Rhinolophus ferrumequinum: one gene and its partners. The protein of the gene in region 2 binds, or shares a complex with, the protein of the main gene of each other region. Links are inferred from orthologs where the notes say so. Each region holds a gene or a part of one and is shown on either strand. Other genes may lie near its edges.

Region 1 (10,039 bases), on a different chromosome or scaffold from region 2:
GGGACCGCTACGTATTTCTTAAAGTATGGCCCAGTGAACCACTTTCATCAGAATCCCTGGCAAGTTGGTTAAAAAATGTAGATTTCTAGGGCCTCCAGAATTTTTAATGCAGATTTTATTTTTTACCACGACCCATATTAAGCGATATGCTTGACATTAAGATTCGATGTTTGTTTTCTAAAACACTATTTTCCATTGTACGCTTCTCTTTCATGTTTTAAACTGCGGGTCTGGACCTAATATATTATGATCCACTCCTGGATTGCAATCCTAAGCTTCAAAAGCATTGGACTAGTTGAATAGAAGGAAGCAGAACTAGAGTTGTGTAATCAGCAAAGAACACTTGAGGCTTTGTGATGTAGGCGATCTAGTAACTCCCTACATTTTCCAAATTCAACAGAATAAATGTCTTATAAGCCAAACCATCCACTTGGCTGGTTTCAGGCGTTAAAAAGTGGTTGCAGGCTTCGGCAGCAAACCTTAAGGGTACCCACTGTCATAGATCCAGCCGGGAAGAGTCCTCTGTAGAAATGACCTACCTCCACACCTTCAGTGTTAACAAAGATGATAACATAAGCCAAGTGTGCCTCAGCTGAGCCCCTTGGCCCGCCCCAGCCACATCCTCTCAGCAAGGGCTTCAAAGCACTGCCGTCCTCCATGTCTCCCCACCCATTCACACCAAACACCCAAAGGGGGTAAAATACTTTAAAACACTATGCAGTGTCCTAACTCAACTGCAATTTCATAAATGCTTATGATTTAGTAGCACTGCACAAGGCCCTCACTGTTTTCTCTGTCATTTTCCTCCTCCTAGGTGTTTCTCTCTTCTCCCCTGCATCTGCCATCCAGCTTCTTCCTGCCCCTCTCTCCTTCCTCCCTCATTGCCTCTCATTCTCTCTCTCCACTTCCACCTGCTGGGAGAGCAGACTGGGATTTAGCGATGTCTCTGACTTCACCCCACTCACAGTCCTTCTTCCTAGGGGAGGATTTCTCTGGGGAAAGCAACATACTCTGGACAGACTTTCTCCAAGGGGAATGACAAAACAAACACCAGATCTAGAGTGGCAATGCGTTCTTAATAACCTGTACCTATTTACCACTGTCCCAAGAAATCACCTCTCTGTTCCTTTCTTCAGGCTGAAATTCTAAGGGAAGGCTCTACTCAAGGCAGAAAGGGGTCTGCAAGAAGAGCAGCTGGGCACTGGGGACAGGAGAGAGGAGAAAAAGCAAAAGTCTGTTGTTACCTGGGCACCTTTCTTGCCGCTGGTGCTACAATATTTTGCTGGTATATTACCCTGGTGAACCTCTCCTATAACAGGCACCTCTTATTCAGCCAGTCAGCACATATTTATTGAGCACCTACTATGCTAGGAATCAGTCTAGAGTCTAGACCTGTAAACAAGACAAGGTCCCTGCCCTCGTGGAACTCCTATCTAATGGGGGAGGCACACAATAATCAAACAAACAAACCGATATATAATGCCAGAGGTTCGTAAGTGCTAAGAAGGAAAACTGAGTAAGGAGTAGCAGGAGGTGGCAAGTTGAGGAGCAGGAGGTGGCAAGTTGCTATTTTATAAGAGGTATTCAGGGAAGGCTCCCTGGAAGCTGACAGCTGGGCAGAGACCTGAAGGAAGTAAAAGAGTGAGCCATGTGGACGGGTAGGAAAAACCTCCTGTTCAAAAGGAGTAACATATGCAAAGGCCCTGGGGAGAGAACTTGGTGAAAGAGTGTAAGGCAGTCAGAACGGGTGCAGTTAAGAAGGGCAGAGAGATGAGACATGGTGAGGGATGGAGGGGGTGGCAATATGGCCATCAACAGCACCACCCACCCTATAGCCCAGTGGCTACTCCAGGCCCTCAGTCCCACCAGACCCAGTTCTGGGCTTGCCTCCCAGCCTGCCCCTCCCTGACACCTACCAAGCTTTTCCCCCATTCCCTTCCCTCCCAAAACCACCCCCCCGCTACAGAGCTGCAACACTCCAGGTCTTTCCCTCACAAGTTCCCAAGAAGACAACCAGTATGTCTAATTTAAAGACTGTCTTTTCTGAGCAGTAAATTGAGTAGGAAAGGTCACATACACATTTAACCACAGCCCTGGAAAGATAGGACATGTACCTAGTAAAGAGCCCAGATGTGAAAGGTCAGTTCTAAGGGGAAAAGTCTGCTGGGTGACAGCAGGCGATCCGGCCTTCTAACTCACAATGCCCGGTTCTGTAAACTGGGGGCCTGGAATCCTTGAAACAACCTTGGCAAGCGGGTATGGAGGTGAGATAATATGAAAAATCATGACCAGAGGTCCTTAATAACAGCTGCTGCCAGCCAGGTCTTTTCCATCTAAAAGTGGGGGTAAATCCCTCTAGCTCCTCAAACAGTTGATATCCACATGCAGGTCATTATATAAAAACAGGTCATTACATGTATGTATATACATTACATGTATGTATACTTTGTAAACATACAGGTCATTAATTCCTTTTACTTTATGGACAAAAAAAAAAAAACTCAGAAAATGTTCCACTGTCCCCCCACCGCACCCCCAAGTCACTGGCAGCCCTAAATGGGGACCTTGTGGCCTCCACCCCGGGAGGCACAAACCCTTGTCTTAGGTTCTCTGAAATAAACCTTAACTAGAACGAATTAGGTCCAAATCATTCATGAACAGCGGTGTTAGCAGGCCCGTGCCCTGAGCACAGGGCATCACAAAACACACTCCGTGAGTCTCAGGAGCTGTCCAGAGGCCCAGAGCCGGGTCACTATGGGGGCCAAGCCCTGCGGCTTTAGGTCAACGCAGCTTCCAACACCAGCAACCCCAGCTTGAAGCTTCCAACTTCAAAGGGCCCCCAGGCGGGAAAGGGTCACTCGGCGGGGAGTCCCTGGCTCCAAAGCCCCTTGAAGTCACACACACACACACACACACACACACACACACACACACACACCCCCTCTCACCACCCTCGCGCGCGCCCGCGGCACAACACGGACTTCCCAACCCCAAACACGCGCGCACCCCCGGGTCGGCTGAGTTCTGTATTTCCTCTTCCTCAAAGCTACTCCTGCCATCTCCGCCGCCCCTCTCCACTCTGATTTTAGGGACCCCCGAGCTTCGCTGCCCCCTTTCTCTGAAGGCGCGCCGGGTGCGCCCCCTCTTTGATGCCGGTATCTTCTATCGAAGCCCCCCACCATTTTTGCCGGTCCCAACCGGGACCTCGGCGTGTCCCGGGAGGCGTGTATTTGCTCACAGTGGCCCCCGGGACTCCCAGCTGCCCCATCCACCCGCTCCAGTCCCTCTCGGCCCTCCCTCCCTCCAGCCCATCACCGCCCCCTCCCAGGAACGCGCTCGCTGGGGGATTCCCTCCCGTCTGCCAGTGCTCGAGAAATGCCGGGAGTCCGAGCCGCCAGTTCCTTCTCCCGCGCAGCCCCCAGTGACTGCAAGCCCCCAATCTCTCACTCCCCGTGGCCCCAAATCCCAGTCGCCGGCAGCGCAGCCCTCCCGCGGCCCCCTCCAGCCGGCCCTGGACGAAACGTCTCTCCGGGTTCCCGGGCCCCAGGCCCCGCTCTCCATCCCCGGGGGCCCCTCCCTCCGCTCCCATTCCCATTCCAGCCCCCCATCCACCTCTGCCCAGACTTCCTCAAATGCCCAGCGCCCCGTCGCGCCCGCAGCCTTCACCCCGCACTACGCCGCGGCCACCCCCGCCCGAGCCGCGGCGCCCCCAGGGAGGAAACAAAAGTGTCTCCGAGGCGACCAGAGTCCCCGGAGCAGGACGCCTCCTCCTTGCCCCAGCCCCATCCCTCCGTCCCCACCCCACCCCCAGGTCTGCCGAGGTCAGCGAGCCGGGGCTCCGCGCCAGCTCAGGAAACTTTACGAACCTGCCCGGGGTCGCAGGACAGCAGCAGTGGCAGCGAAGGTTCCCAGCGAACAGACCTCTGGCGACCCGCGACCATTGAAGGGGGCCCGGAGGCTCTGTCGCCCTGCTCGGGGCCGCGGCGGTGTGGGTGGTCTGACTATCCCGTGCCCATCCTCGCCCGCTAGCGCTTGCCCGAGCACACGCACTTACACTCCGGGTCCGCAGGCTGCTGCTCCGCCGGTTGCCGCTGCTCTCACTTCCTCTTCCTTCCTCCTGCTGGCCAGAGACACGTTTTGCAGCTGCGAGGCATCCAGAGATCAGCCGCGAACTCTCCTCCGGAGCGGACGCTGCGGAGTGGCCGCCGCCGCCCCCGGCACCTGCGCCTGGACAAGCGTGGTTGGCGCGTTCGCCGCCCGCCTGCGCCCTGGGGCCTGCCTGGTACTTTGCCTGGGGCGCGGTAAGGGTGGGGGCGAGTGCCCACGACTTTTTGAAGTCCCCTTACTTAAAAAGAAAATGTCAAACACCGTGGCCGCCTCAGATCTGCCATAAATACTCAGTGTACAGAGCAGGACTTCTCGGATGAGCTCACACGCGGCGTTTTGCAGGCACTAATTAACTCCGTCACCCTCAGAGCGCCACCTTAAGGAGACCGAGAGCGCCTGGCATCTTTTTACGTACCTTCATTTTTGGCAGTTGGTTTGGAACTTTGAGGGGAAACTTCGGTGGGTTGTTTTAAAGCTCCTTTAAGAGGCTGGTGTGTTTGTTTTGACGTTCTACCCCTCTCCTTGGGCAGCATGGCAAAAATAACTACATCATGCTGCCTTCCCCTAACCCTCACGAAGGCATGTACAGGCGACAAGATTTATTCCTGATCAGTTACGCCAGGGCCTCCCTGAATTTGCATAAAACAAGATGTTCCACCCCCAAATTGGTATTTAGAGTACATTATTTAATTCATGCAACCTACCTCAGACATTTTCAAAGCAGAAATCAAACACGTCTTCTCCCAGCATAGCTGCCAAGAGGGAAATGACAGTTGTTGGAAGGTTGCAGGAGAAACACCTGTCCTTTCCAAATTCAGAAATATCTACATTGGCTCTACCAGAAAAGGCAAAGGCAGTTGCTGAGGATTCCATTCAAATTGGCAACCAGGTAAGTTGGGGGCAGGGAGGCCTTAGAATCAAAGTTGGAAGGCAGAGCTCCCCTTTAAATTTCAATCCCCACCCCCAGGAGATTTAAATTGTAGTCCTGTGCGAGCTGTTCATGAGCAGAGATCCAAACAGCTACTGTATACTTGAAATGTGACTAGTCCTGAGGTGTTCAGTAAGTGGAAAATAGACAGGGGACTTAGTGTGAAAAACAGAATGTAAAATAGGTTGTTCATGAGTTTAGTGTTGATGACATCAGCTCAGCAAATGATAAGAGTTTAGATGCAACTGGGTTAACAGTATATATATGCAACTTCAAATAATTTCACTGGTTTATTTTTACGTTTTGGATGTGGCTACTAGAAGAAGTAAGATTACACATATGGCTCTCATTAGTGGCTCACCTTATACTCTAATGAACAGCCCTGATCTGACCCCTTATTATACGTGTAACCTTGAGAGGAAGTATTAGTAGCAGGAATACTTGGGTCCAGATCATTAGAAGCCAATAATAACAAAGCAGGATGACTCCAGGAAAGTAATTTAACTTCTCTGTTTTCTCATCTATAAAAAAATAATGATATAATCATAACAGTCAACAGGGCAACTATCAAATGAGGTAATTTAATAAGCAGTTGGTAAAAGGAGCATTTTCTAATGATGCTCTGAGATGCTGTGGTGATTACTATGAATTTGATCCACCACTTCCTAGCCAAGGCATATAAGACCTTAACTTGAGTGCAGACAGTCTGAGCAGTCAGTAAATATTAGCTGTCATCGTCATCCCAAGAGTAGTAAGGGAACTCTGTCCCCCTCCTTGCACAGCAATGAGGCAAACCCACCTCCCTGTAACTTTTGCTCCCAACTCGGCCCTCTGCAGCCAACACAGAGTAAGTCCCATCCTTCCTCCAAGAGATAACCTTTCAGATTTTTAAAGATACACCCTGAGTTCTAACTAGTCATTCTCTTCTGAGGATTCAACACTCTCAGTTACTCTAATTCCTCCTCATGTGATATGGTTTCAAATGTCTCTCCTCTTAGTCATCTACCCCTTCAAGGACACCTGTCTCTGCCCTTCCAAACATTTTAGTTGTCATATAATTAATTTACTAATTAATATAATCAGTTAGCCCGAGCTCTTGTCAATGCTTAAAAACACTCGATCCAGCCTCAGCTCTGGTCAATTATTTTTTCGAAAACATCTCGCCGTTGATCTCAGTGCAAAGGGAAGACTGTAAACTCTGTGTTATGTTACTGTTAGGCCATATCCATGCCCAAGGATTGGTCTTTGCGACTAAAGCTCCCGGTCCACCTTCTCTAAGGAAGGCTCTTTGGATTTGATTCAGGCATCCAGTGTCTCCCCAAATCCACAGATGAGGTAAGAGCACTGGGTTCCTGGATGACACCCCACTGAGGGGTTCCCTCCACCATGGTAGGGATCCATACTCTTTGCATTCACTGGATCATTCAGTTACTAATAACCTTCTTCACTGTGCAGTTGACAAGCCATTTTTTCTACTGTATTCATAAAGACATCTTAGAAGTGTCAAATGCCTTCGAGAAACCCGCCTTCACCCAGGGTTCAGCTGGTGCTCTTCAGTGCTCACAGTAGAGCAGTGTTGTCATGTGTAAGGGCCCCCTCTCTGACGTTGCTTGTTGGGTATAGATCCCAGCATTGCCATTTACTAACTAGCTGCATTACCCTATGCAGGTGACTTAATTCACGGGCTTAAAACTATAACTACCTGGGAGGGCTAAGCAAGCAAGAAATGAGTTAACACATGTAAAGTTCTTAGAACAGGGTCTGGCACTAGAAGCACTCAATAAATGTTAGCTTAGCTATTATTATCTACTCGGGTCCTCTAATCAATAAGTCATGGTAACGGAGTCCGGAAAAAGAGCATTGTCCCCTCCTTTTCCCCACATCTGTGTTTGTAGCCGCAGGGGATGGAGAGAGCTAATATTACTGCTCTGATTTTATTTCAGCTCCTGGTCAGGGCTGGAGCTATTCAACCACTAGGTCAGGCTGTAGTAGAGAGGAGGGTCATTTGAGGGTCAGAGTCAGAATCCAAGTGCAGCCGTTCACTAGCACTTGCAGTAAGCCCCGGGGAGCGAGGCCCGCCTCATCTACATCGAAAGTGTGAGGGAGGTGGATTCAAGGTGTCCTCTGCAGGACCACCCAGCTCAGATTCAGGATGAGCTGAAGAAAAGGAAGCAGGTGGGGGATTGCTGGCTGGAGAACAAAACTCGTGGAAGCCCCAATTCAAAACTGCTTTCCCCATCTATGTTTACAAGACATCTTTGCCTTGTTGATGGATGGACAGGTGTTTGGGGGAACTTCCCAGATTTTAATACCTCGATCCTGTGGTCCCCATGTCTTTATCCTCCTTCTATGTACGGAATCCAAGGTAGGAGGGTGAGTGGAAGGCCATCAAAATGGCACCATGAGACCCCAAACTGCAAAAATGGCCTGTTGTTTTTTAATCAATGATGATTCATGTTGGTCACCTCTTTCCTTTCTAAGTGTTCACAGATATTCATTTTTAATTCATTAAAAAGAAAGAACAGTTATTGGACTCCCAATGGGCCCTGTGCATTTAATAATGCATTTAGTAATTTGCTTCAGAATTCTGCCCCCGTCAGCCTCAACTTCCTTGATCTATTACAGCTCGAAGAATCTGTTCTTTTTCCCTGTCTTAGAATCAGGCTCACGTTGGCTTGACTCCAGACTTCAGACAGCTCTCGGGGCAGAACGTGGCCTTCACAAAGTTGCTGTACCAGAGATAACAAGGTCTGGGGCAGTCCCCAGACATCAAAGTAACAAGGGGGTCTGCTGTACCAGGGCACTGCTTCTGTCAATCATTCATTAATTCAGTGTGCACAGAATGCCTGAAATGTGAGCTACTGCGAGAGAAAGGGAGGCTACAATGATAAGTATGAGAAACACGGGGCGCCCCCTCTTGGCACTTGTCTCCTAGTTAGGGAGACAGACTTCTGTTGAGTACCCTAACACCAGGAAGTTGCAGTGCCCTAGGGGCTAACATCATCTGTATAAGCCCCCCGAGGAAGCTGCACTTGAGTTGAGACCTCAAGTGAGCATGCGTGTGTGTGTCAGCCAGGACAAAGAGGGGAAAGGATGTGGCTTGGGTGATGGCGAAGGGTTCCAGGCCAAAAAAGCAGTTTGTATGAAGGTCTGTACAAATCATAGTGTAGGAGAAACCTTAAAAGGTCAATTTGGTTGAAGTGTGAGAATATCAAAATTGAATCTAAGAGCAGTGGGCAGAAGTGAACATTTGGAAGCCTTTGAGAGTCATATCATGGAATTTGGATATACTAAGGATAATAGGAAGGCACTGAAACTTATTTTGGTTTTTGTTTTACTTTGGTTTGTTTTCCAAGTGAAATAGTTTAAGCAAGAGATTGTCACGGTCACTTTCGTCTTTTTTTTTCTTTTTTGTTTTAAAGGTTCATCCTACTAAATACGGAATGGATTAAAGGGGAGACAAAAATGCACGTGGGAAGTACAAACAAGAAGTCACTGCAGTAAGCCAAAGCTAGAGAGGATAGGAGCCTATCATGCATTAACCGAGGGGGCTCGGGAGAACTGGAGAAACTGAAATGTTACAAAGGAGGCAGAGGGGCCTAGAATCGAAGGTTTGCTCATCCTCCGTAGTCGAGGAGGCTCACAAACAAGCCATTTGCTTTCACCTTGCCGCCTTGGCCTCACCAAACACTGAACCTGATGGGCCTTCTTGCAGTCTTGTGTCCAGTGGGATACCACCTCCAACTCTTGCCCCCAGGTCAAGGAATGAAAGCCTTGACTCCACTCTTATTTGGCCAATGATCATTTCTGGGACACCACTGCTCTGAGTTCATCTCCAACATGCTCCCATTTCCTAGCCATTATACTATTGTTCAGGACATCCACGCCAAAATGGAAACTTTACTCTGTACCAGTCCCCTTCTGCTCTAGTCATCCCACCCTACTTTTAAACCAAAAACATCTCTATGGACTGCAACCGTATGTACTCCCCTGTTTGGATTTTGGTTTGGTAGGGCATTTATTAAGACTTCTCAGATCTATATCCACAGTTAACCACCCACAGCCCAAAGACCAAGTCAAAGGAATAGCACTGATGAACCACTCAAGGAATCCCTACAATAGTACAGTAAAAATGGCAAGAGAATTGACCCCGGAATCTCATCAGACCAAAACTGACAAAGTATTTAAATGTCCAGGCTTGGGAGTCTTACAGACATGGAAAGAAATCTCCCCTCTACTCCTTAATAGCCACGGGACCTGAACAAATTATTGTATTTTTTTTCTGAGCCTATGAAATGAGGATAATTGGATGATGATACTTCTCTCAAACAATATCCAGCACATAGTAAATACTCAATAAATGGAGCCAATGTGCATGTTAACCAGTATGCACTTGTAATGGTTATGGATTTTTTCCAGGATAGGTGGAAAGATCAATATTCTTTACTTTAAAAAAAAAAAAAAAGGGAAAAAAAAACTTTCACAAAATACAGGTCTATTGTTAAAAAAAAAATAAGTGTAAAATAGTAAATGAAAAGTAAAAGTCTTCCCATTCCTAACCCCAGTCCTAGTTCCTAGAGGTTAACACACATCATCATTTCTGTTTTTAATTCTTCCAGTGATTAATGCCACGGTTTTAATTATCAACACTATTATCTCTTGGTTTATCAGCTTCATACAGTACCTATTAACTCCCTTCTATAAAAGATTTCTAAAACTTTGGCTTACTTACTCCTATCTCCCAATTCTTTTGTTAGTTCTTTGATTATAACATCACATTCTGTGTTTTTTTTTTAATTAATGGACCTTGTGATATTATCATTCATATCACTTCACTTTTCTCTCATTCTTTCTATTCCCACTGGTGTCTGTACTGCCCTCCCTGAGAACCCCCTGGCTCTGTCTTCCAGATCACTAATTCAGACTTGTCCATTCTTCCCATTTATTTAGGTTTTTTGTTTGTTTGTTTTTATTTTTTATCGAAGTTTAAATGTCCAGATTCTC
Region 2 (10,534 bases):
TTTGCTTCTTGACATCTAAGGTCCTATATTCTTTTGGATTCCTAATTGTGCGTATTTATATTTTTCTTTTATTCTTGACTAGATTCATTACACATCTATTCATGTTATCGGTATGCTTTTACCTAAAATGTCTTCTTACAGGATATTAAGCAATATATGCTGTTTGAATTTTCCTGTTGTTCACATCCTAGGTGAACAGGAGCCTCCTGTCTTCCAATAATACTCTGTTGTGAACAATTCTAATATTTGTACCCAGACAATGAATTACAACCACAATTTTACAAATAGGAAGACTGAAGTCAAGAGAGGCCTTTTTGGTAAATCATAGGAGAAACCAACTCCCAGGGCCAGCACTCACTTGGCACTCGAAGTGTGGGCCCAGCCCAGAGTTACCAAGGACAGACTTAATAGTCAGATCATTTTTAAAAGGAGCTTGCCTCCAGAAGGAACATAAGTGAATTTATTTCTCCTCCTCGAGATTTTTTGCTCTGTGGTCTGGGTTCTGAGAAACAAACCCTGAGGCATAATTTTACAGGAGGGAAGGGCTTGTTTAAATAAGAACAGTATGCTACAGTAACATGATTCAGAAACTCTGTAAGGAACCCCAAGGCACTGTCCTTCTGATCCAGCTGGGACAGGTGATTGTTATCTGGAAGTGAGTGAGTTCGGGAATACTGCCCAAATATGACCCCAAACAATCCTGGGATAAAGCCAGACCTGGAGATTGAAGACTACCCAAGAAAAGATTGCTTTAGTTTTGTACCCTTTGGCCAACACCTCCTCACTGACCCTCGCTCCCCCTCCCCCAGCCCCTGGCAACCACCATTCTACTCTCCATTTCTATGAGTTTGGCGTTTTAGATTCCACATATAAGTGAGATCATACAGTATTTGTCTTTCTCTGTCTGACTTGTTACGACTTATTTTACTTGGCATCATGCCCTCAAGGTCCATCCATGTTGTTGCAAATGGCAGGATTTCCTTCCTTTTCATGGCTAGATAATATTCCATGGGGGGTGTGTGTGTGTGTGTGCCATATATATATATATATATATATGTATATATATATATATATCACATTACATCTTCTTTATCCATTCATGTATGGATGAACACTTGGGTTGTTTCTACATCTTGGCTCCTATAAATAATGCCGTAATGAGCATGTCATGTCCCCCTTTAGAAGTTTCCTTGTTTGATGGGTACGAAAGCAAATGCTTGTGTGCTACTTGTTACAGAGGTTTAGTTAAGGTTTTTATTTATAGTTCCTATCATTCAGAATAGAGTCCAGAAGGGCTAGGCCAGTAGACAATTTCCCAAAACAGATACTCACTGTTCTCAAAAGTGCTCCATCCGCTGATTTCTAGGCAACCTTTGGTCCTTGGAGTCCTTCTCTTCCGATGACTCCTGTTCGAGGAGCTTCTCTTAAACGCTTATGCTACGGACTTCCAGATCAGTGCCTCCTTTATTACCTCGCTCCTTCTCCTGGAGGTCCCCAGCCTTCCCACTCACCTCAAAAGGTGGCAGTTACAGATTAGAGCAGGGGTTGGTGAACTATGGCCCTCAGGCCAAATCCTGCCCACCACCTGTTTTTTGTACAGCCTGCAAGGTAATGATTTTTTGATGATTGAAAACATGATTTAAAAAATTAAAAGAATATTTCATGACCTATGAAAATTACATGAAATTCAGATTTCATGTCTACAGATAGTTTTATTGGAACATAGCCACACTCTTTTGTTTATGTATTGTCTATGGCTGTGTTCCTGCCACCATTGCAGAGCTGAGTGGTTGTAAGAGACAACATGGTTGTAAAGTCTAAAGTCTAATATAGATATGGGCCCATTATAGTCAAAGTTCACTGACCCCTGGTTTAGGGCATGGATCCTGGAACCAGTCTGCCCAAGGTTTGAATTTAGTTCTGCCACCAACTAATTGTGTGGGCAATATCTTAACATGTCCTGAGCCACAATTTCCACATTTGTAAGGTGAGGATGACAATAGTTCTGTTTACCTCATTAGGCTGTGTCGGGATCAAACAAGTGGATTTAGAATAGTGCCAGGCACAGGCCCAAATTACAGGCCATAAAAGTTAGTTATTATTGTTACACTACAGCTGGTGCTATGGAAAAATCTGTCTGGTATTAAACAAAAATTCTCGATCAAATGTTGGTTTCTTAACTGACCTCAAAGTAATAGCAAGAAAAATCTACTGAATATGACAGTCATCTAAACAACATAGTAACGGTGTGTCACTGTCGTGAAGGGACTCCAGGACGAAACTTCACTCCTGTCCCAGGTAAAGGTCAAATTTAGGCATTTGACTTCCTGCTTTTCTACATAGTCCAGGTATCTCAAGAACCAGTTTATTCTCTTTTACGTTGTTTTAAAGAAGTTTAATAAATTTTTCCATTTTTTTCATGTTCTTTTACAGTCATTTTCCATGTAAATGTGTAATTTATATAGTTATAATCATATCATGGCATAAACCATTTAATTATTTTTACTTATGCTTACATCACAATGTTTCCACATTGATTCTTAGTTTTCATCTCTTGTTTTAAACAGTTTTATGAAGATATAATTTTTCAATACATATAGGAATTTTTCAAGATATATAAACATACTTTTAAAAAATTAAGGAGTTTTCATTCCTTCCCACCTGACTATCCATCTAGTTTTCATCCATCTAATGACTTCGAATTGCTTGTCATCAACTTCTCCCAAAGGTGATATTGGAGCACATTTAGATATTTGCAGCAAAGAGCATTCTAGAAACAAAACTGAAAGCTTTTTGCTGTGATCATGAAAAGAGTGAAAGTGCTTACCAAGCATGAATCTCACAGGGAATGAGGACAGGAATAGCTTTGGAATGCTGACCATCCTCTCCCCATTCATCAGAGAAACTGGACATACAAAGCCACGTGGCAGAGCTAAGGACAGACTCAAAGGTGCTCACCCCTCAAGTCATGGGGTGCGGGGCAGAGAGTCTACAGTGATGTGAGTTTGTGACGTATATAAAAAAGAGGTTTCTAGGGCTGTAGAGATCAGCTCCTTTGTCCATTTACCTCAGGGCTCCCAAATTACAATGAATCACCCCACTCCTAACTTACAGAGAATCACCCTGTCCCAAAGAATTTGCCTTCAGAAGATTGCAAAGTGGTGCTTCGAGTCAATGACATTCCTTTTCCTTTTTTTTTTTTGCTAAGTCTAGCAACTACACTCTCTCATATCTCATATGTAGGATCAAAGAGTGAGTCTCCTCTATCTAGAAAAACAAAAGATGCTCTTTCACTGAATCCACAGCGTCTCTCGTAGAAGCCATCCAGTCAGCCAGACTTGGCGAAGTCAACCTGGTAATCAATGGAGGAAGTGATGTGCTTGGCAGTTTTGTTGACATCCATCTAGTCTCAGTCATTATAAGGGATAGGCACAATATGCATGGCAAACTACCCTTCACATTCATTTATCCTCACTGCTTTCTCCAAGGCGCCGCTTCAAACAGAACACTCGTGTTGGTGTATGCCTAAGTATGTTTGCATTTGTGTGGGTTTTGAGTCGAATATCTCTGGTTGTAAATACGCTTAATGTTTCTTCTGAAAAGAAATCAGAGGAAAAGGAAAAGGATATTTCTGGGAATCAAGCTGTTATTCCACCTACCCATCTGGTTGACTCTCTAATTTTAAGCCTCATTTTAATAAAAGACTTTGAATAGCACTGCTTTTATGATTTAAATGGCCTTTCCAATTGAGATTTAACCATCTGATATAACAAAGTGGGTGGACTTCAGTCTTCAGAGGAAACAGAATAAACATACTCAAAGCTGTAATTTAAATTTTCCATTTTCCTCCAGCCCTCTTAACACAATTATTGTCAAACTTGAAATAGCCAGGGCTTAAATACAAACCTCAAGTTTTGCAAAAATCTTATAAGGCAAGGGTGGGGAGAGGTAGCTGAAATCATTTTGGTAGAAATCCAGTTCCACTGGATGAGCATTGAACACTCTGATGTGTATTAAGTTTACAATATATCCATGGTTAGAGAACACTGGACATCCAATCGTCTTGAACACGGAGGATGGAAGAAACTTTGTGAAGCCCCATCCCAAAATGCTTCAGTTCCTAGCATTGTACATGAAGGAGTTACCGAGGAAGGTATGAAAAAGTGAGTCCTAAAGAAATATCAAAAGAAAACTTTAGTACAGAACAACTTGGATATAAAGGATAAAGATGAATTAGACATCACAGATGACCAAAAAAAAGGCAACTCTATGTTCCAGTAGCTCAAGCCTCAAATCTTAGGGTCATCTTCGACCTATCTTGTGCCTTGACCCAGGGACAAGATCCAAGGTTTGTGGGGCCTGAAATGTATATAGTGAGGCTCTTTTTTTTTTTTTTTAAAGAAAAGCATTATTTAGGGGGGCAAACTTTCCAAAAACATATGCTGATGAAAGTACCCTGAGGGGTCCAGAAGCCTCAGTCATTTCCCCTGTCCACACTGCCTTTCTCTTGGTTCTACCTTCAATATATTTCAAGAACCCAACCTCTTTCCCACCTCTCCACCTACACTCCTGGACCCAACTACCTTCATTTCTTGCCCCAACTCCTTAAATTGCCTTCCATCCTTCTGGTCTTTTCGCATCTTCCCTTGTGTCTTTACACTCTGCTTCTCCCACAGCAGGCAAATTAGATCATGTCCTTGGTTGGCTCAACACACTCCAAACCGCTCACAGTAACAGGGAAAAGTTCTTACTCTGCTTTCCAAGTTCTTACTATGCTTCCCATGTGGCTGGGACTACGTTTCCTCCCACACTCTGCTCCTTACTCACCTGTCACCACCTGGTATTCCTTGATGTTTTTGGAACCTGTCAAACATGCTCTGGGCCTTTGCATTTGTTCTTCCTGAGTCCAGAATACTTTCTCTGGAATCCTTACTTCCTTCCTGTCTGGATTTCATTGTCACCTCACCAGATCAACGCCATCCCACATGCCTTGCTAACCCAATCACTATAGAACAGAACCTCTCCCATCCTCCTTGCTGTGGATTTTTCTCCACAGACATAGCCTCTTTGGGCATACATTCATTTGCTTATTGCCTTCATCACTTCTTCTAGACTGGAAACTCTATGATGAGAGGGATTATACTTTATTCATTGCTGTGATCCATTCTTAAAACAATGCTTGACATATAATAGGTCCTTCATAAATATGTGTGGAAAGAAGAAATTACCTAACCTGGGGAGTTAGGTTAATCATGATGGCAGAGGAAGAGAGAAATTTCCGGGGAGATGGTGGAATTCCTTCTGTTACCATTGGCAGAGAAAATAATCCTCATGTCCCTTCCCTGTATTACTTCTAAATGTTAGGTTTAAAGTGACAGATTTCTTAACTTATTATGACACTTTATGGGTAAATACCTATTTGCGGATGAAGTAGAAAGTAAACCTAGAAGTTAGCCACCGCGAACAGGACCTCTTTTTAAAAACTTCAGATCTGACTTTGCAAAATGCATGAATTCTTCAATCAAGTTTTACTGTTTATCTTCCTTTCTTTTCATGTTCCAAATAGGCAAGAAAGCCATCGCAGACTGCAGGGACAAAGTTTCTCTCAAATGTCATTTTCTCAGACGGTGAATATAAACCAGGTGGTCATTTACTCGGATTTTTACTTCCATGTGTGAATTAAAGACCTCCCCACCATCCACGCTTCATTCTTGAGGTCTCTCCAGGAGGAAGTGAGTTCCAGGAGGGCAGTTTTAGAGGGCAACAACAGGAGCCTAGGGCACTTCAAAAGAGCATCCGTGCGTTTGGCTCTTCGTTGAAACAATACAGTCAGTGAACCAGAAGACTTGGATGTGCCAGGTCCCCTTCTCCGTAGGGATGGTCTTTGCGCGGTTGGTCTGCTGGAAAAGGGAGGCATTGGGGCGGGCTTTTCCCTTGAGCATGAGGGTCTGAGTTCCCCCGAGGCTCTCCTAGGAAACCATTTAATACGTCCGAGGAGCCCGTCTGCCTTGTATCTGTTGTCTATTTACCAGAAGACACACATGTTCCTGCTTTGAAGGCTATAAACGGTGGCCACAGGAGATCAAGTCTGTCCTGGAGTCCGGCTTCCGGCTCGCGTGGTGTCAGTTAAAGCTCTAGGGGGTGGACGCAGTCGTCAACTGCTCATTCATTCAACAACTATTTACTGAGGGCCGCCGAGTGCCGGGCACTGGAGGTGTCCCGGGGGCGAAAAGCAGCTCTTACTGGTACATTGCGGTGCCCCCGGGGCCCCGGCGCGCGCAGTGGGGACGCAGCCCGCGCTCCTCGCCCACCCAGGGCCCGGCCGGCCGGCCTGGGGGGGCCCAGCGTCCCAAGCGCAGCCCTCCAGACGCCGGCGCCGGGGAACCCGCCCCCACGGAACCAGCCTGGAGGGTTGCATCCCGGAGGGGAAGGCGGGGGAAACGCAAAATACCAAAAGTAAAGCCCAGACCCCAGTCTGCACTGGGAAGCTGCTCCGGGAAGTCGGCCAGGCGGAGAACAAGCTGGCCTGGGCCGGGGAGAGCGGGCGGGAGAGGCCGGTCCTGGCGCGGAGGCGGGCGGAGGGCGCGGCGGGCGGGAGGGGCCGGGGCGGCGCCGCCGCCCGGCCCAGCAGGTGACCACGGGCCGGGCCGGAGCCGGAGCGAGTCCCGGGCGGGCGCGGGCGGCACAGGCAGCGCGGAGCCGATCCGTGGGGTCGCGGAAGTTTACCGGAACATGGCGGAGGAGCCCGGGGCGCGCAGGGGCGCCGCGCGGCGGCGGTGGCCGGCACCCCAGGAGCTGTAGCCGCCGCAGCCACAGCCGCCGAGGGGCGAGGTCGCCGCCATGGCCCGCTGGATCCCGACCAAGCGGCAGAAGTACGGAGTTGGTGAGTGATCGCCAAGTGCGCGGGAGCGGCCCTGTCTGGCACGAAGTTGGGCGGCGGATTCCAGGCACTGGGTGTGCGCGCCGCCCGGGACTGGGGTCCGGCTCCTGCGGCCCCGGGGGGCGCAGTCAGCACTCCACTCCCGCGGCGCAGTCCGGGGGCGGGTGGGGAATCGGAGTCCTCTCCCCGAGCAGGAGACCCGCAGGGGAAGTCACTCCGGGCTTTGGGAAGCCGAGTGACTAAAAGTGCATCTGGGCTCCGGGACGGATCATCCTGTTCCCGAACCCAAAGCTCAAGCGCCTGGCATAGTGGAAACGTCAAAGGCGAGGGCGCTCGCGGGTTACTCCTTTAGGGGCCCCAGCTTCGGTGCTCGCGCCCCTCCTCCCCACCGTGCGGTTTCATTCAGGAGTTTGTAACCCGCGGAGGACCGCTGAGTGCTGCTCGCTGTCCAAGGGCTTTCTGCCTCCCTCTTCTTCGGTTCTCTCTGAAGCCCCAAAGTGAGGAGTTGGAGGGTAACAGTTGTGAAGTGAATGGGAAACTCAAGTTGTGTGGATGTGATGGAAGAGACAGGCATTTTGTGACATGGAACGGGGGTGGTGCCCCCCGAGGCCGGGGCTCATCCCCTAACGGAGTGTATGGAGAGGGTTAACGACAGCCTTCTGAACCCCGAGTTTCGTCGCAAAATCAGATGAGGACACTTTATTAGGGAAACCGTGACAGATCCCGCGCTAGGCACCTGGCATTCGTAGCAGCGGTGCGGGAGGGCTCCCACGGCGCGCGGAGGGAGGGGTTGCTGCTGTGTGGGTTTGGATCCGAAACAGGCGGGGTTTTGACCCAGGTGGAAACCGTGGTCCTTCGACTTTCCATTAAGGAGAGAGGTTGCTCAGGTCTCGTGGGGAAGCTCTGCCGTAGGGGCGATTAGGAGCGACGCTCCAGTAGAAACACAGATGTGTGCGTTGAGAATTTTATCGCTTCCTCTCAGGTTCATTCATTTGGCCTGTTTGTAATCTCATCGTTTACTTCACTCCCTTCCGCGCCCCCATTTTTCCTTCCTCAATGGTGCCTAGGACAGATCCCTGAACCTAGTTAGTACTTTCAGATGGCGAAGTGATTTCAGAGATCCGCTTACTATCTCCAGATGCGGTTCAACTCTGTAGCCAAAGCAACAACAAACCCTCTCATGTTTACTATATTGTTCTTAGATTGTGATCCTTTTTGTGTGTGTGTGTGTGTGTGTGTGTGTGATAATACATGTCCATACTATTCCTTGTTTTTCCCCTATTCCCAAAACGTATTTGATTTTTTTTTCTTTCCTTTAAAGTGCGATTAGTACAAATCCTCGCACTCTCCTGTGGCTACAACTCAGAAATCGTTAGGTGGTGTTTCTCCTGCCCCAGACCACCCTGTCATGATTTGCTCATGAAGCTTCAGAAAGGGACGCTTAGTCAAGTGCCAGTTAGTAAGTAGTCAGTAGTTACGGAAGTGAAATGGTCTAAAATAAACCATTTTGAGTATTATCCAGTACTAACTACTAAATTAAATCATATTGAGCAGTGCCTAAGTGTTCATTACTACTTACAAAATGGTTCTCAATTCTCATTTTGCTTACCAGGATAAAAGCTGTTTGCAAAACGATTAGGCCTTTGGTGTAGTTAATGCAATCATATCCTACAACTGTGGTTTTTAGTGCCACAGTCATAGGAGCAAGTATGAGACGTTCTCTCTTTTTTACCCTGTGCTGGATTCAGGTTACCTTGTTAGTTTCCATCAGTCAAGGAAAGTATTTGAATTGCATTTCCAGGGCATAGGTGGTAGCAAAATTGCCCCAAGATATAATTTTTGACACTCGTGTCACTGGACACAATAGATTCTGATTAATCTGTACTTGAGGGAAGGACCCACTCTTAGGACAGATTATCTGACAATAAATCACCATCGTTTATTCCTAAAACACATTGTTACTCATATCACCTCTCTGCTTAGAAGCCTTCCTTGGCCTACAGGGTAAAGTCTAAACTGAGCCCAACTTTCAAGTTTCCCATAATCCAATTCAACATATCTTCACTGACGTTATCGCTCTCACTGCTTCTTTCATTAACCCTCCAGTGCAGACACTGCCCTTCTGGCTCTTGCGCAATGTGCCACGGAGAGTCCCTCCTTTGGGACTTTGCCCCCTTCTGCTTGTCCCTGTTCAGATTGCCCTCCCACCTTTGCATCCCACAATGCAGAATTTCCCTTAGGGCTCAAATCCCTCCCCTTTGCCACCTTCAGATTTGGTATTCACCAGACCTCACACCTTCATACCTCTCCCTCACAATTCCTACATTGTGCGATCCCTTATATTATTACTTATCCTCTTATCCTTGAATCCAATGAACCAGAAGGTTATGGTTTTGTACCCCTGTCACTCAAGAGATATGCTACCAGGTATAGGGCCTTCCTGTAGTAACTGCTTGTCCTTCGTGTTGAGGTGACATCCTAAAGCACTAGCCTAACTTTTTCTGTGAGGATTTAAAGCTGGTTTTTCTCTATTAGGTTTTAGCATCTCATTCGCTTCAAGATGAGGTTTTAGCATCTCGTTCACTTCCATATGAGGTTTCCTTTGTTCTGTTAGATGGACAAAGTGAGAGCCTTCAGTCTGTCTTTACCTTTGCAAGTAAAAATGTGACATGTGCTGCTGAGAAACAAGGAAGCATAGAATAGATGGGCTTGTTTCAATGTAATTGGGAAAATTGGCTTGTTGGGCTTTTGGGGGGAGGATTGTCGTCACTTCTGTGTGTCTGGATGAAGAAAGCCATGTGATGGTCATTTTGAAGCATTTTAATGACTCAGAGCTACTCTGAGAGTAGCGCTTTGATCTCACTGTGAATTGTGGGCGGTGAAGCTAGCACCTAAAGAGTGCCTAAAGAGATAAGTGAATTGCCGAATACCAGGCGTTCTTACCTTTTTGATTGCACGAACCCTTTTGGCCATGAGGTTAAACTGGTGGCCCCCTTTTTCAGAATCATGTTTTTAAGCGCACAAAGTCAAATATGAAAGATTGAAAATGAATCCAGTTGCATTGAATCCTCTACTGCCTTATGTTATCTTGGTGCTACTATTGGCTGTCCTCACATAGCCTAGATTTTTCTACAGGGACTGAAATGCTATCTGTCTGGGCTTTCTTTAGTTCTTAAACATAGCATTGTTAGTTCAACCTCTAGCATTAGGTGGGCTTAAATGACCTATGTGTGTTATCTGGGTTATCAAGTGAGAGGACCCAGAGGCTTGCTTCTTTAAGCTTCTGGTCCATTAGTATCCACGTGTGAAGGACTTAGTGCCTAGTGTTCATCCCCACAGCCATGGAAAACTCTTTCCTTTCTTATTTTCTTTTCCTTTATTCTTTCTTTCTCTCCTTCTTTAATGTGTTCTATTTAAAGATCTGAGGGTATAAAAGTTTTTGTCTAGATTTTAAGCAAACATTCGTGATAACTATTCAGATTAGTCTTCTGAGTATTGGAACATTTATTTTAAGTTTGCTCCCGAACAAGCTATTTCTATCAAGAACAGATCTAGAACATGTGGATGATGGATTCTTTGCAAAATAATTCATTATTGTTTGTTGGGATTTATGATGTGTATTATTACAGTGTGATAAAAGGTCGTTTGGAGGAC
Region 3 (10,546 bases), on a different chromosome or scaffold from region 2:
AGGGTGGAGAGGAGGAGGAAACAAGAAACAAGACAGTTGTAGCTGGGAAAGCAGTTAGGGGATGGGACCCTTTCACCAAATCCCAGTTCCCTTCCTTCTCTCACCATTCCAGTACTTGGGGTGCTCCAAAAAGCATGAGCCCCTGGACCGGAAAGCTCTGGCAGGGGGAGCTAAGGAGGCTGCTCCCCTCCCCCACCAGGCAGCAGAGAGGAAGGCTGAACACTTGCTTCCTCCTCCCTTCCCCCTAGCAGCTCAGCAGTCCCGGGGCCCCATGAAAGGCCTGTGAAGTGGCACTTCCTTTGCCTTTGCTCATTTCGCACAAGGCTGTACACAAGTGCCATCCTCCCAATTCTGCCTCCCCCACCTGTAAATACCCACAGAGACCCAGGATCACCGTGTCCCTTCAGACCGGCCCCAGGCCCGCGGGGGTTTCCAGAAGGGAAAAAAACATCAGGGAGGAAACTCCGGCATCTATTTTCCACTGTCAGTGGGGCACAGCTGGAGCAGGGCACAGGGTACTCTCCCATCTTGCTGTCCCCTGGCAAAATCCCCAACACTCTCTGCTCTCATCTCTCAACCTGTAACAATCCTTGGGCTTTGGGGCAAGGGGCCCCAGTTCCTGTCCCTGGACAGATACTTAGAGACTACTCAGGCCTGTCAGCTCAAGGCTGGCATGAGACAGGAGGGCCCGGAGTGGAGGCCACTGCTATGGGGAGCCTCTGGGGGAAGGGGAGTCAGAACTATCGGTATTTTGCACGCTCTGTGTAGGCACTGATAGGCAACTCCTTCATGTTGAAGCTGAGCCACGAGGGACAAAGTTGGTCAGAGTTATACAGAGATTTGGGAGCAAATCCAGGACAAGGACTTGGTTCTCCTAACCTCCAGCCTGAGGTTACTTCTACAAAGCAGAGAAGGTGAGGATTGTTCCTCAGGCCTAGGAATGGGCCCACCATCACTCTGGCCTTATTCAGGATGATTCTACCATGATTTATCCCTTCAGGAAATGGACCCAAGGGGTCAGATTGATGTCTGAGACCTTTTTGCTTCTAAGTTCTCAGGCTCTCATGCCTAGAGCATACTGGGACATCTATGATGTAGAACTGACATTACTGGACAGACAGCCATCCTAGCCCTGTCCTAGCTGAGGAGCTCCTCCTTTAGCTTCTAGCTCCTGGGGAGATGCCCTCCCCCGCATGACAGGAGGACAAAAGAGGAAGCTGGATCCTGGACAGGAAAACCAATCTGTTCTGGCCTAGACTTTGTCTTTGGTTTCCCTCCTCACAGATCTCTACAAGCCTCACCACTAATGAATCTACACTGCTTATGGAGGGAGGGGTCTTCAGTCTGGGCCCTGGGGCCTATCCATCCTCATTCTAGTATCTTCTCAACCATCTCACTACAGCCACAACCTCTCATACCTTCCCGCTCATGACCCCCTAAAAGGTCATACTACCCACCTTATTTGCCCTAACATCTTGCCAGAAATAACTCTCCAGATCCTAGATTCCCAACCAGGATTTGTGACAATCTCACATCAGCCACTTCTTTTCATGTCAGGACTTTGGCTTTATTTCTTTAGCCAAGAACTCAATAGCAGCCTCCTAGGTTGCAGGCACCCCCCGCCCCTGATATTTTCCCATTTAGACCTCTCCTACCCTGGTCATATTTTTTCTAGCAATGATTTTCTTGCAATTAGCTCAAACCTCCAGTGGGACCAGATTGTGCCCGGGAGAACCCATCTCATCCGTCCTATCTTCACCCCCAGAGACCTGTGGGTTGCTCAGTTATGCAGAATCCTAAAATAAGTACCCATCGGCAAGGCGGGAGTCAGGACTCCTGGGTGGTTTTTTTACTGAGCCGTGATGCTGGGAGGGGGTCCTGCAGGCACATCCTTCCCTGAGCAGGATTTAATGTAGGTCCCCGAGATTTCCTCTCAGGGCCAAACCCCTTATACCTCCCAGAAATGAGAGTAGAAGACACTGGTGTGTGGACGAAGAGACAGTTCATGGGAGAGGGCAGCTGTGAATGGAAGAGGACAGAATGGGGAACAGGAATAGCCCTTAAATCTAGCTGTGCTTGGGAATCCCAAAAGAGTAGCACTTGCTGCCCTCCCCCCCTTTTTTTCCTAGTGGAGGGAAATGAATAGAGTAGACTGGAGGAGACAGAGAGAAGCAAGATCTCACAACATGCATCTCAAAGGCTTGAGGAAAGAGCCCTAGAAAGGGCTTACAGAGCCAGTTGGACTAAAGTTAGACTCAGGAGAAATTCCTGATAAGAGAGGGAGTAGGATCTTAGGTAAGAGGGGGAATATTAAGGAATCCTGAAGGCAGAGGGCTCAGCAGACTGCAGAGGATTACTGTCACCAAAGCCCTGATGCAGCCAGGGCACGTAGGTACCCAGCCTGGGCAGGCCCCGGAGGGCAGCAAGAAGGGCAGAGGGGGCAGATACCTTTGCTTCCCGCTCCTGTTCTTTTCCTGAATTGGCACTAAAACAGGTAAGAATGAAGTTAGAACAGCTCTAGTCTTCTCTCCAGAACCCTGCCTTTGCTTCCTCCCTTTCCTTCTGTCACACCTAGCAAACTTGGTCCCATTCTCCCCACCAGGCGGTGCTGGAACCAGTAAGCACTGGAGTCAGGGGCCTTCGGGCTGTCCTCTGGCCTCCAGGCCTGGCCTCTTGATCAAGCACCCAACGGTCTGAGTGATTTTGATTTCCCACGGCCTCTCTCAACAGTCTTATTACTGTGCCACTCTACCCTGACCACCACAGACTGCTTCCTCCTACCCTACCCACAACCGCACTCACTGCAGGTTCCCTTCATTCTGCTGGCTTCCCCTGCTCTGGGCCCTCTCAAGGCTGAGAGCAGTTATTTTGTCTCCAAGAGATAAAAATGTCGACACACAAGACGCACGCACGTACACATACAGAGAGGTTTTCTAGCCCTTTAATCATCTCTATTACTGGGAGGTTGCAGCCTGCCTCTCTGAGCTGGGGAGGTTTGAAAAGGCTCTGAAACTCACCAAAGATCCTGACGCCAAAGCTGGGGATAAGTGGCTGAAAGGAAAGGAGACAGAGGGATCAAAAGAATGAAGCGAGATGGAAGAAGCAAGAGGGTAGATACATCTGTGGGAGACAGAAGCTAAGCAAAGAAGGGCGTGGGGGTAGGCTGCAGGGGACAGAGACGGACAGAAGGGCAGGGTAGGTGAGAGGTCAGGGCCTTGGCATGACTGTGTGTTTGGGGGAAAAGAAACTGAAAAAGATTCGAGAAGTGGGTGATGGAGGGTTTGTGGGTAGAGTCTGAAGAAGGAATGGAAGAAGACAAAGTGAGAATGTATAGAATTTAGAGACTGCCAATGAGGGGTGCGGGCCGGCGAGAGGTCAACTAGGAGACGGCTCCTAATCATTTCCCAAGGCCAGAACCCCTGCTGTCTCCCACAAGCCCTATTAGTCTCTCCATCTCCTGAAAACAGTGCTGCTCTCAGTGATGCCATCTTGTCAGGGACTATCAGTACCTCTGAATGAGAGTCCTTCCAACTCTAGTCACAGGACAAGACCAGGCCCTTTCTCTTCCTCAGTTTACCCACAAAAGAGCAAGGCCAGGCACCCCTCAGCCAGGCACAGCAGGTATTTGCTCACCAAATACCTGTTGCTTGGTTCCATGGATGGAGAGGTTGGGCCTCAGCAAAAAGACGCACACAGAGAAAGATTGGGGTCAGCGGGGCTCCCGCGCCCTCCTGAGTGCAGAGGACCCTTGGGCTGCAGCCTGCGAGCAGGTTCTGGGTTGGTACCGATCTTCCAGTGAGGAAGCTCGTCCTCTGCAGGCTAGGGCGAGAGGCCAGACACCGCCCCCCTCTCAACCTCACAAATGTCACAACTGCCAGACCAGTGGGAGCGCCATCTCTAGCCCAGCCCTCCCACCCCACTCACTGCAGAATAGCTCCCCAACTTCTGAGGGCACCCCACCTCTGAGTCCCACATCCCAACTCTAAACCCTTCCACTTCAGAGACTTTTCTCTCTGGGCGCGAGACCTCCGATCTCAGGGGCCCCCCGCGGCTCCAGGGAGCCGGTACAGCCGCCCACGGTACAGGAACCCACCCTCCAGGAGCTGCCGCCGGCTCGCAGTGGCTCGGTCCCCGCCCCGCCCGCCCGCCCGCCCGGCCGCGCCCGCCCAACTTGCAGTGAGCCCAGAACCTCCCGCCCGCGGCCTCCCGCAAGCAAACTTCCTGGGCCGGCGCCCGTGCCCAGTCCCGGACCGGCCGGGCTCCCTTCCCCGGGACCCCCAGCCCGCCGGCCCGCGCCGGGCCTCACCTGGAGCCCTCCCCGCCGCGGGGGAGCTGGGGGCGGCGGCAGCAGCAGGCGGCTCGAGAAGGAAGTGAGAGCGGGAGGCCGGAGGAAGTGGGGGGGGCGGTCCCGGCGACCGGGGCGGAGCGCGGGGGCGGGCCGGGGCGGGGCCGCACCAGGAAGTCCGTGGGGCCGGTCCCCCCACCCTCTGTCTCTTCTCCACCCCCAGCCTCGCCCCCGGCCCGGTCCTGGGCTCCCTGACCCCAGCCCTCTCCCTCCGAGGCTCTTAACGTCAGTCCTCCCAAGGTCAGTCCTCCCAGTCTCCTCCTTGCCACCCCCAGCCCGGTAGAGGCCCTAGCCTAGGTTCTAAGCTTTTGTCCCCCTCCCCGTTTTTGCCCCCACCAAGCCCTGCGGGAAGATGCTGAGAACAGGCGCCCCTAAGTCTTGATGTCTTCAAGCCCAGGAGTCGAGCGATATCCAAGGCTCGGCGTTGGTCAGAATGGGTCAGGCTGGGGCAGTCCCCACCCCTGCCCGGAACCCCGAGGGAGTGCGGGGTGGTGGTGATTCAGCAGTGGGAAGGCCCCAGACCCCTGGGGAGAGTGCGGAGACTGGGGGAAGGGGAGCTGGCGTCAGCACCCGGGGAAAGACAAGATCAGCAGAGGCGCAGGCGGAGCCGCGGGCCCCAAAAAACAGGATGTCGCGTCGTCGTTCCGCACCCGGCCACTCCGCGCGCTTGTGCTCTGGGGAGGGGGCGGGGCGGACAGAGGACCTTGGGCTCCCTTCGCCCCCTCTTCTCGCCCGAACGCGCAACTGCTGGGGCAGAAGGGCCGCACCCAGGCCTGAGATCCTGCAGCGGCCCTGGGGACAGGCGGGTGGACAGACTCGTGGGCGCCCTCTGGTGCTTCTGTTCCCCGGCGTTGCTCTTGGAGCTCTGACTTGAGAATGAGCATCCTCAGTTCAGCACAAACTTTCTGAGCGTCTACCACGTGCAGAGCCCAGTGCTAGGCGCTGTGCCGGAAAACTGAGAGGCGCTTAAGACGGGCTCCCTGTCTCCAAGAGGCTTTCCAGATAAAGAGGAAGAACAATGAAAATAGCGTAACCTTTCTGAGCCTTAATTCTATCTTTGGTAAAATAGAATAACCTCTTTTTCATCCTGTAGTTGTGAAGATAACATGACAATGGATGTAAAAGACCTGCTGTCAATGCCTGGCTCAAAGTAAACACAAAACAAATGCCTTTAAAAAATAATCATACTAATACAAGAATGAGTTCCCTAAACACAATGTGCCTGCCCTCATCTTTGAGTCTTTACCCATTCTGTTCCCTCTGCCTGATTTCTTTCCTGTATGGAATGCTAGGGGAAAAAATAAACTTATTTTTTCACGATATGACCCTAATGGACTATACTACCTGTCTGGCTGCCATCTTCGCCAGTCCAACAAGCACACACATACTACTTCTATCATGAACTTGAGAGTCTCTCCTAGAACTATCCAGTGGAAATATGTGAGCCAAATATGTAGTTTAAAATTTTCTAGTGATGATACTTTTTTAAAAAGTCAAAAAAAGGTAAGATTAATTTTAATAATACATTTTACTTAGCCCAATTTATCCAGAATATTATCATTCAACATGTAATCAATATAAAATTATTGATTATAAAAATGAATAGGATATCTTACATTCTTTTTTTTTTTGGTACTAAGTCTTTGAAATCTGGTGTATGTTTTACACTTACAGTACATCTGAATTTTGTTTAGACCCCTTTCAAGTGCTCAGTAGTACATGTAGCTAGTGGGTATGACTTCACACAGTGAAGTCAGAGTCTCCGTCACATACAGGCTGGTAAGTGACTGAGTAGATGAATTTACTCTCTATGATCCTTCTGGGGAGGCTTCCCCTGACCCCTCAGGCAGAGTTTGGGTCTCTCTTCTCCTTCCCCATAGTACTTGGGACAAACCTCCTCTCTGTGGAGGAGAGGAGAGCTGGAAACACAAGGGGAAAATCTGATTCCTCTTCATACCCTACTGGGAGTACATGGCTAGTACTTGGCATTTGATGGTGAAGAAAGGTTTGTGAATTTCCATAAAAGACAAGGTTTCATGGAGGACCACACACTACAACAGCTTTCATGAAGCCATTAAAAATCGTGTCCCAGAACAAAGGTTTTTGAGTTGTGTTCCTAGAGTTCCCTTTCCAGGATTTGAGGGCAGGAAAATAGTGGGGCTCCCTTTCCTTTAACCAGAGTTGGTTAACTTTTATCTGATTTATATACTACCGTTCTGGATGAAGAAGTCATTAAAAAATTTTTTTTCTGTAACAATACTTGAATATCAGTTTTAGATTCATAGTGGTAAAAGTAAGGTACACGGAAAAGTAGGGTGCAGTAGACCAAAAGGCTGGATTGGCAGCTTGGGGTTAGACTTGGGCATGCCTGGCCCTGGTTTAGCTTGCTTAGGTGGGAGAACCTGATTTGGCCTTGAGAACTTCATGGTCTGGTGCGATATGGGACTGCTGTATATGAAGCTACTGGAAGACAAGACCTGAGGTCTAATCTTGGCTCAGGCAGACTGGCTAATGAGACTTTGGGCTAGGCCTCACCCTTCTCTGGGTCTTAGATTCCTCCACTGGAAAACAAGGGTTTGAACCAGATGATATCTTTGAGCTCTGACCTTCTATGATACACTCTTCAAAACAATAATTAAGTAATTAAGGTTTATGCATGTAGCATATTGCTCATAGTTTTTTCATACCATTTAGGTTGTCTTGTTTTGTGCTCTGGTTAATTGTATCTGTGCCTAATGTCTGTATCCCCCACTGCCTAAGTCCTTTGAGGTTGTGTCTGATTCATCTCTGTGTCCACCCACTGGGCCTGGCATAGGCAGGCCTGAGTGCACATTTGCCTTCAGTATACATACATCTGTGGAATTAAATTGCCTTAATAAAGCACTAATATGTGTAAAACCATCAGAAGCTAGGTGACTTGGAATCACTTTTGTGGCTCAGATATAGGAAGGGCTGATAGGCCAGAGGAGAGGGAGACAGGTAGATAAGTAGGGCTGTCTGCAAAGGCTTCTTGGAGAAGGAGGATGCTGAGCTGAAGAGGGTAAGAAGAAGGTACAATCCCAGATGGGCTATTTCTTCTTCCTACTCTTTGACTTGCTTTCCTTGAATAGGTGAGTTCTTGGCAGGTGGTGTAGGTTTGTGTTTACAAGCATCTGAGAGACAAGGACACTAAGCTGGGACATTTATAAGTGAGACAGCATATGACAGCATACTTGGTGAGGGTAGGATAGAAAGATCACAGACAGGTTCTGGAGCCAGACAGTCCAGGATTCAAATCCTGGTTGTGCGACTTATATTGTGAACTTTGACAAGTCACATGACCTCTCTCATTCATTCCTTGAACACATATTTATTGAAAACCTTTTCTGGGCCAGGTATAGTATCATATCAATGATGCAATGGTGAAAACATAGACAAGCTCTTATCCTGATGCAACTAGCAAGGGAGGTAGATCTTAAACAGGTTAATCAATCATACAAGCGTACAGAGTGCTGTGAGAGCATATAACAGAGCCATTTAGTTTCCTTTTAAAATGGGAATGACAATACTGTGTGCTTTGTGGGATTGTGAGGATTAAATGAAATAATGCAAGTGGAGCATCTAGCAGGTTGCCCGCGGTACAACAAATAAACATTAAGTAATTTCTCTATATGCCTGTAGTGGTCTTAGCTTCCCCCCCTCCTCGCCCCCGACCAATTCCTCCCTCTTTCTCAAGGTCAAAAATGCTAAAGCTGATTGATTGGGTCCCCCTCAAAGGGCAGGATGGAGACGGAAAGGAAGAGGAGAAGGGTCCTGAACTGGTCTCACCGGCTAGGGTGGCTTCCAAATGGGTCTTCCCAGCCTGTCCTCACTGAGCTCCAGCTCAGTGACCAGTGGCCCACAAGCATTTTCCACTCAGTCACAGTCCCAGCCTCTTCGGGCTAACCCTAAATCTGAGTTTTCCTTTGTCTCTGACGTGGCTCCAGGGATGCAACCTTTTTGAGACTCCTCTTGATTCTTTGTTCTTTGCTCTCTCAGCCTGCCTGAGGAGTAGAAGTAGGAGTCTTCCCCTCATTGCTACCCCCAAAGACAGCCTGATGTCCCATTTTGTGACATGGGACAATGATGGGCAAGACAGAAGATAGCAGAGAGAACATGGGAAGTGACAAATGAAACTAAGTTCTAGAGTAGCATCCTATGATCCATTGTTCCGATTCCCTCTGAGGAACTAACTGGGTGGGGGAAAGGAGGACGAAGGGCATGCCTGTTCTCCAGGAGGGTCCCTTCTCCCAGGCAGGCAGAACGATACTTGTCCTGTTTGCCTCCAGGACATCTTTGCATCTTTGAGGTTCTCCGAACTGGATGGTACCTAGGTCACCTGGATAATCCTCTCTGGGAAATTCCTCCTTCAGCCCTGGGGTGTTCAGGAGCAACTTAGTTTGCCCAGAGTCACACAGCAGAACTGGATGTGAATCTAGGTAGTCTAATTCCAGAACCCCTCACCCTTACCCATCCATGTGCCTCTGCATCGCCTCTGACTGCTTTAGGCAGTTACTTGTCCCTCTTCCGTGCTTCCTCACCCGACCCTGTACCAATTTCTCTCAAGACATTATCAACAAGTACTAGTTGCGCGTGCTCTCTCTCTCTTTCTTTCTCTCTCCATATATATATTATATATTTTGGATCCATTGAGTAGCTGTTCGTAACAACCCAGTTCATACCCTCATACCCTCAAAGAGCTCAGTTTTCATATCCCTGAAAACTTTGAGGGTATGAACTGGGTTGTTAGGAACCAGCTACTCAATGGATGTTAAATGAATGAGTGAACAATGGCAGTAAGATTCTAAAACTGATTCTGGCAGGGGAGATGATTCTCTGTGAAACTAGGTTGGGAAGAGTTGTTAGAAGCCAAGATCTCTCTTTCCTCATTCCCTACGCAGTCAAGACCCTGGGCAGCTTCTCAGTGACGGCTGTATTTTCCATGTTTGGACACCAGGGAGCTCCACTGATAACACAGTCCAAACTCAGGGATTCCTAAACTTTTCTGAGCCAGAGATTTAAGACTCTGTTACACTTCTGCTGAAGATTCTCTCACTTTCCAAATGAAAGCTATTGGTAACCAGAAGCCCTGTGGTGTAGAAGAATGACAGCTAGACTGCAGTGCAGAACACACATCATTCATTGATTCACTCAATCATTTATTCACTTTTATTAAGTACCGGGTATGTGCTGGGTAAAGTCCCAGCCTGGGAGAATATAAAGATGAATGAAATGCAGTCCGTGATGAGTTTAAGGCTAATGGGGAAGATAGATACTTATTAGATAATCACAATCCAGTTACATGAGTTCTCTAAGGTATAGCAGGAGACCGGAGAGACAGGGCAGGTCAGGGAAAGTGCCAAAGGAAGGAAGGGGTGACTTTTGAGCTGGACTTTTTTTTTTTAAACTAATCATAACTTTTGGTTGATGCTAGGCTGTCACCATTGGTCAAGGTATGGGTGCTTTTATTTCACTGGAGCTGAGAGTTGAAGGATGGAGAGTAAATCCCAAAGGAGAAAGAGAGCTTGAAGTGGTTGCCACTTCATTTCCTCAGCTTCAGTTTCCTCCTCGGTAAAATTAGTATAGCATCCAATCTAGTAGAGCTCTTGTGAGGGAGGAGATGAGATAATAGATATGAAAACTTTTGCAAATTGTGGAATAGAGGCATAAGAATTCTTCATCCAATTTGATTTAATCAACACCTGCAGACTATCTATTAGGAGCAAAGCCCTCAGAGTGATTCAAGAGACATACACCTGGCACATGGTAAAGGCTTCGTATATAGGATTAAAAATGATAAAGATGAAAAATGAAAAGCTCTCTTCTTACGGACATTACACTCACATGAGGACCCAACATAGGAGCTATTGAGGTGAGAGTCACAGCTTTTGATCCAGGCACTTCCATGAGGTCTCAGGATTATCCTGTCTTATAGAATATTAAAGCTGAACTAGATCAATAATCTGGTACCTATCTATCCTATAGTTGGGGAGGTTGAGATCAAGAATGGAACTGGCTTTTCTGATGTCATATCATGATCTTGGAGGCAAAGAGGAGACCAGAATGTTCCTCCTATTGTCCAGGCCATGGTTTGGCTCCCAGACAGTATTTATTTTTATTCTCAATTGTGGTAAATACACATAAAATTTACCATCTTAACCATTTTTAAGTGTACAGTTGAGT

Evidence for each region.
Region 1: the proteins of DOCK5 (region 2) and ELMO1 are in contact, whole or in part, in a cryo-EM structure (PDB 8JHK), measured with the Homo sapiens proteins. The link is inferred for Rhinolophus ferrumequinum from reciprocal best matches to the Homo sapiens genes DOCK5 and ELMO1. Residues at the interface, in NP_079216.4 of Homo sapiens: Met1, Ala2, Arg3, Trp4, Val14, Ala15, Ile16, Tyr17, Asn18, Ser22, Gln23, Gln30, Ile31, Gly32, Asp33, Thr34, Glu39, Tyr41, Gly43, Trp44, Arg46, Tyr48, Lys56, Ile58, Pro60, Glu61, Thr62, Tyr63, His65, Leu66; in NP_001193409.1 of Homo sapiens: Ile7, Val8, Lys9, Ala11, Tyr18, Pro19, Leu21, Glu23, Glu36, Asp39, Gly40, Ser42, Asn71, Gly72, Gln392, Asp393, Leu400, Glu401, Lys468, Arg531, Glu535, Leu536, Lys539, Leu547, Gln550, Gln551, Asn554, Arg555, Asn582, Thr688.
Region 3: the proteins of DOCK5 (region 2) and RHOG are in contact, whole or in part, in a cryo-EM structure (PDB 8XM7), measured with the Homo sapiens proteins. The link is inferred for Rhinolophus ferrumequinum from reciprocal best matches to the Homo sapiens genes DOCK5 and RHOG. Residues at the interface, in NP_079216.4 of Homo sapiens: Val232, Phe345, Asn393, His394, Lys395, Gly396, Trp400; in NP_001656.2 of Homo sapiens: Ala121, Pro123, Leu126, Arg127, Arg128, Lys130.

What each region holds. Positions count from the first base shown.
Region 1 is NC_046303.1:7,347,516-7,357,554, reverse strand, and holds the start of ELMO1 (engulfment and cell motility protein 1), read right to left. Parts: upstream 4,184-10,039; 5' UTR 4,055-4,183; exon of another isoform or gene 3,867-4,054; intron 1-3,866. UniProt on the Homo sapiens protein: Involved in cytoskeletal rearrangements required for phagocytosis of apoptotic cells and cell motility. Acts in association with DOCK1 and CRK. Was initially proposed to be required in complex with DOCK1 to activate Rac Rho small GTPases.
Region 2 is NC_046301.1:41,911,002-41,921,535, reverse strand, and holds the start of DOCK5 (dedicator of cytokinesis protein 5), read left to right. Parts: upstream 1-6,616; 5' UTR 6,617-6,840; coding exon 6,841-6,883; intron 6,884-10,534. UniProt on the Homo sapiens protein: Guanine nucleotide exchange factor (GEF) for Rho and Rac. GEF proteins activate small GTPases by exchanging bound GDP for free GTP. Along with DOCK1, mediates CRK/CRKL regulation of epithelial and endothelial cell spreading and migration on type IV collagen.
Region 3 is NC_046294.1:47,341,674-47,352,219, reverse strand, and holds the start of RHOG (rho-related GTP-binding protein RhoG), read right to left. Parts: upstream 4,451-10,546; 5' UTR 4,307-4,450; intron 3,788-4,306; exon of another isoform or gene 3,641-3,787; intron 1-3,640.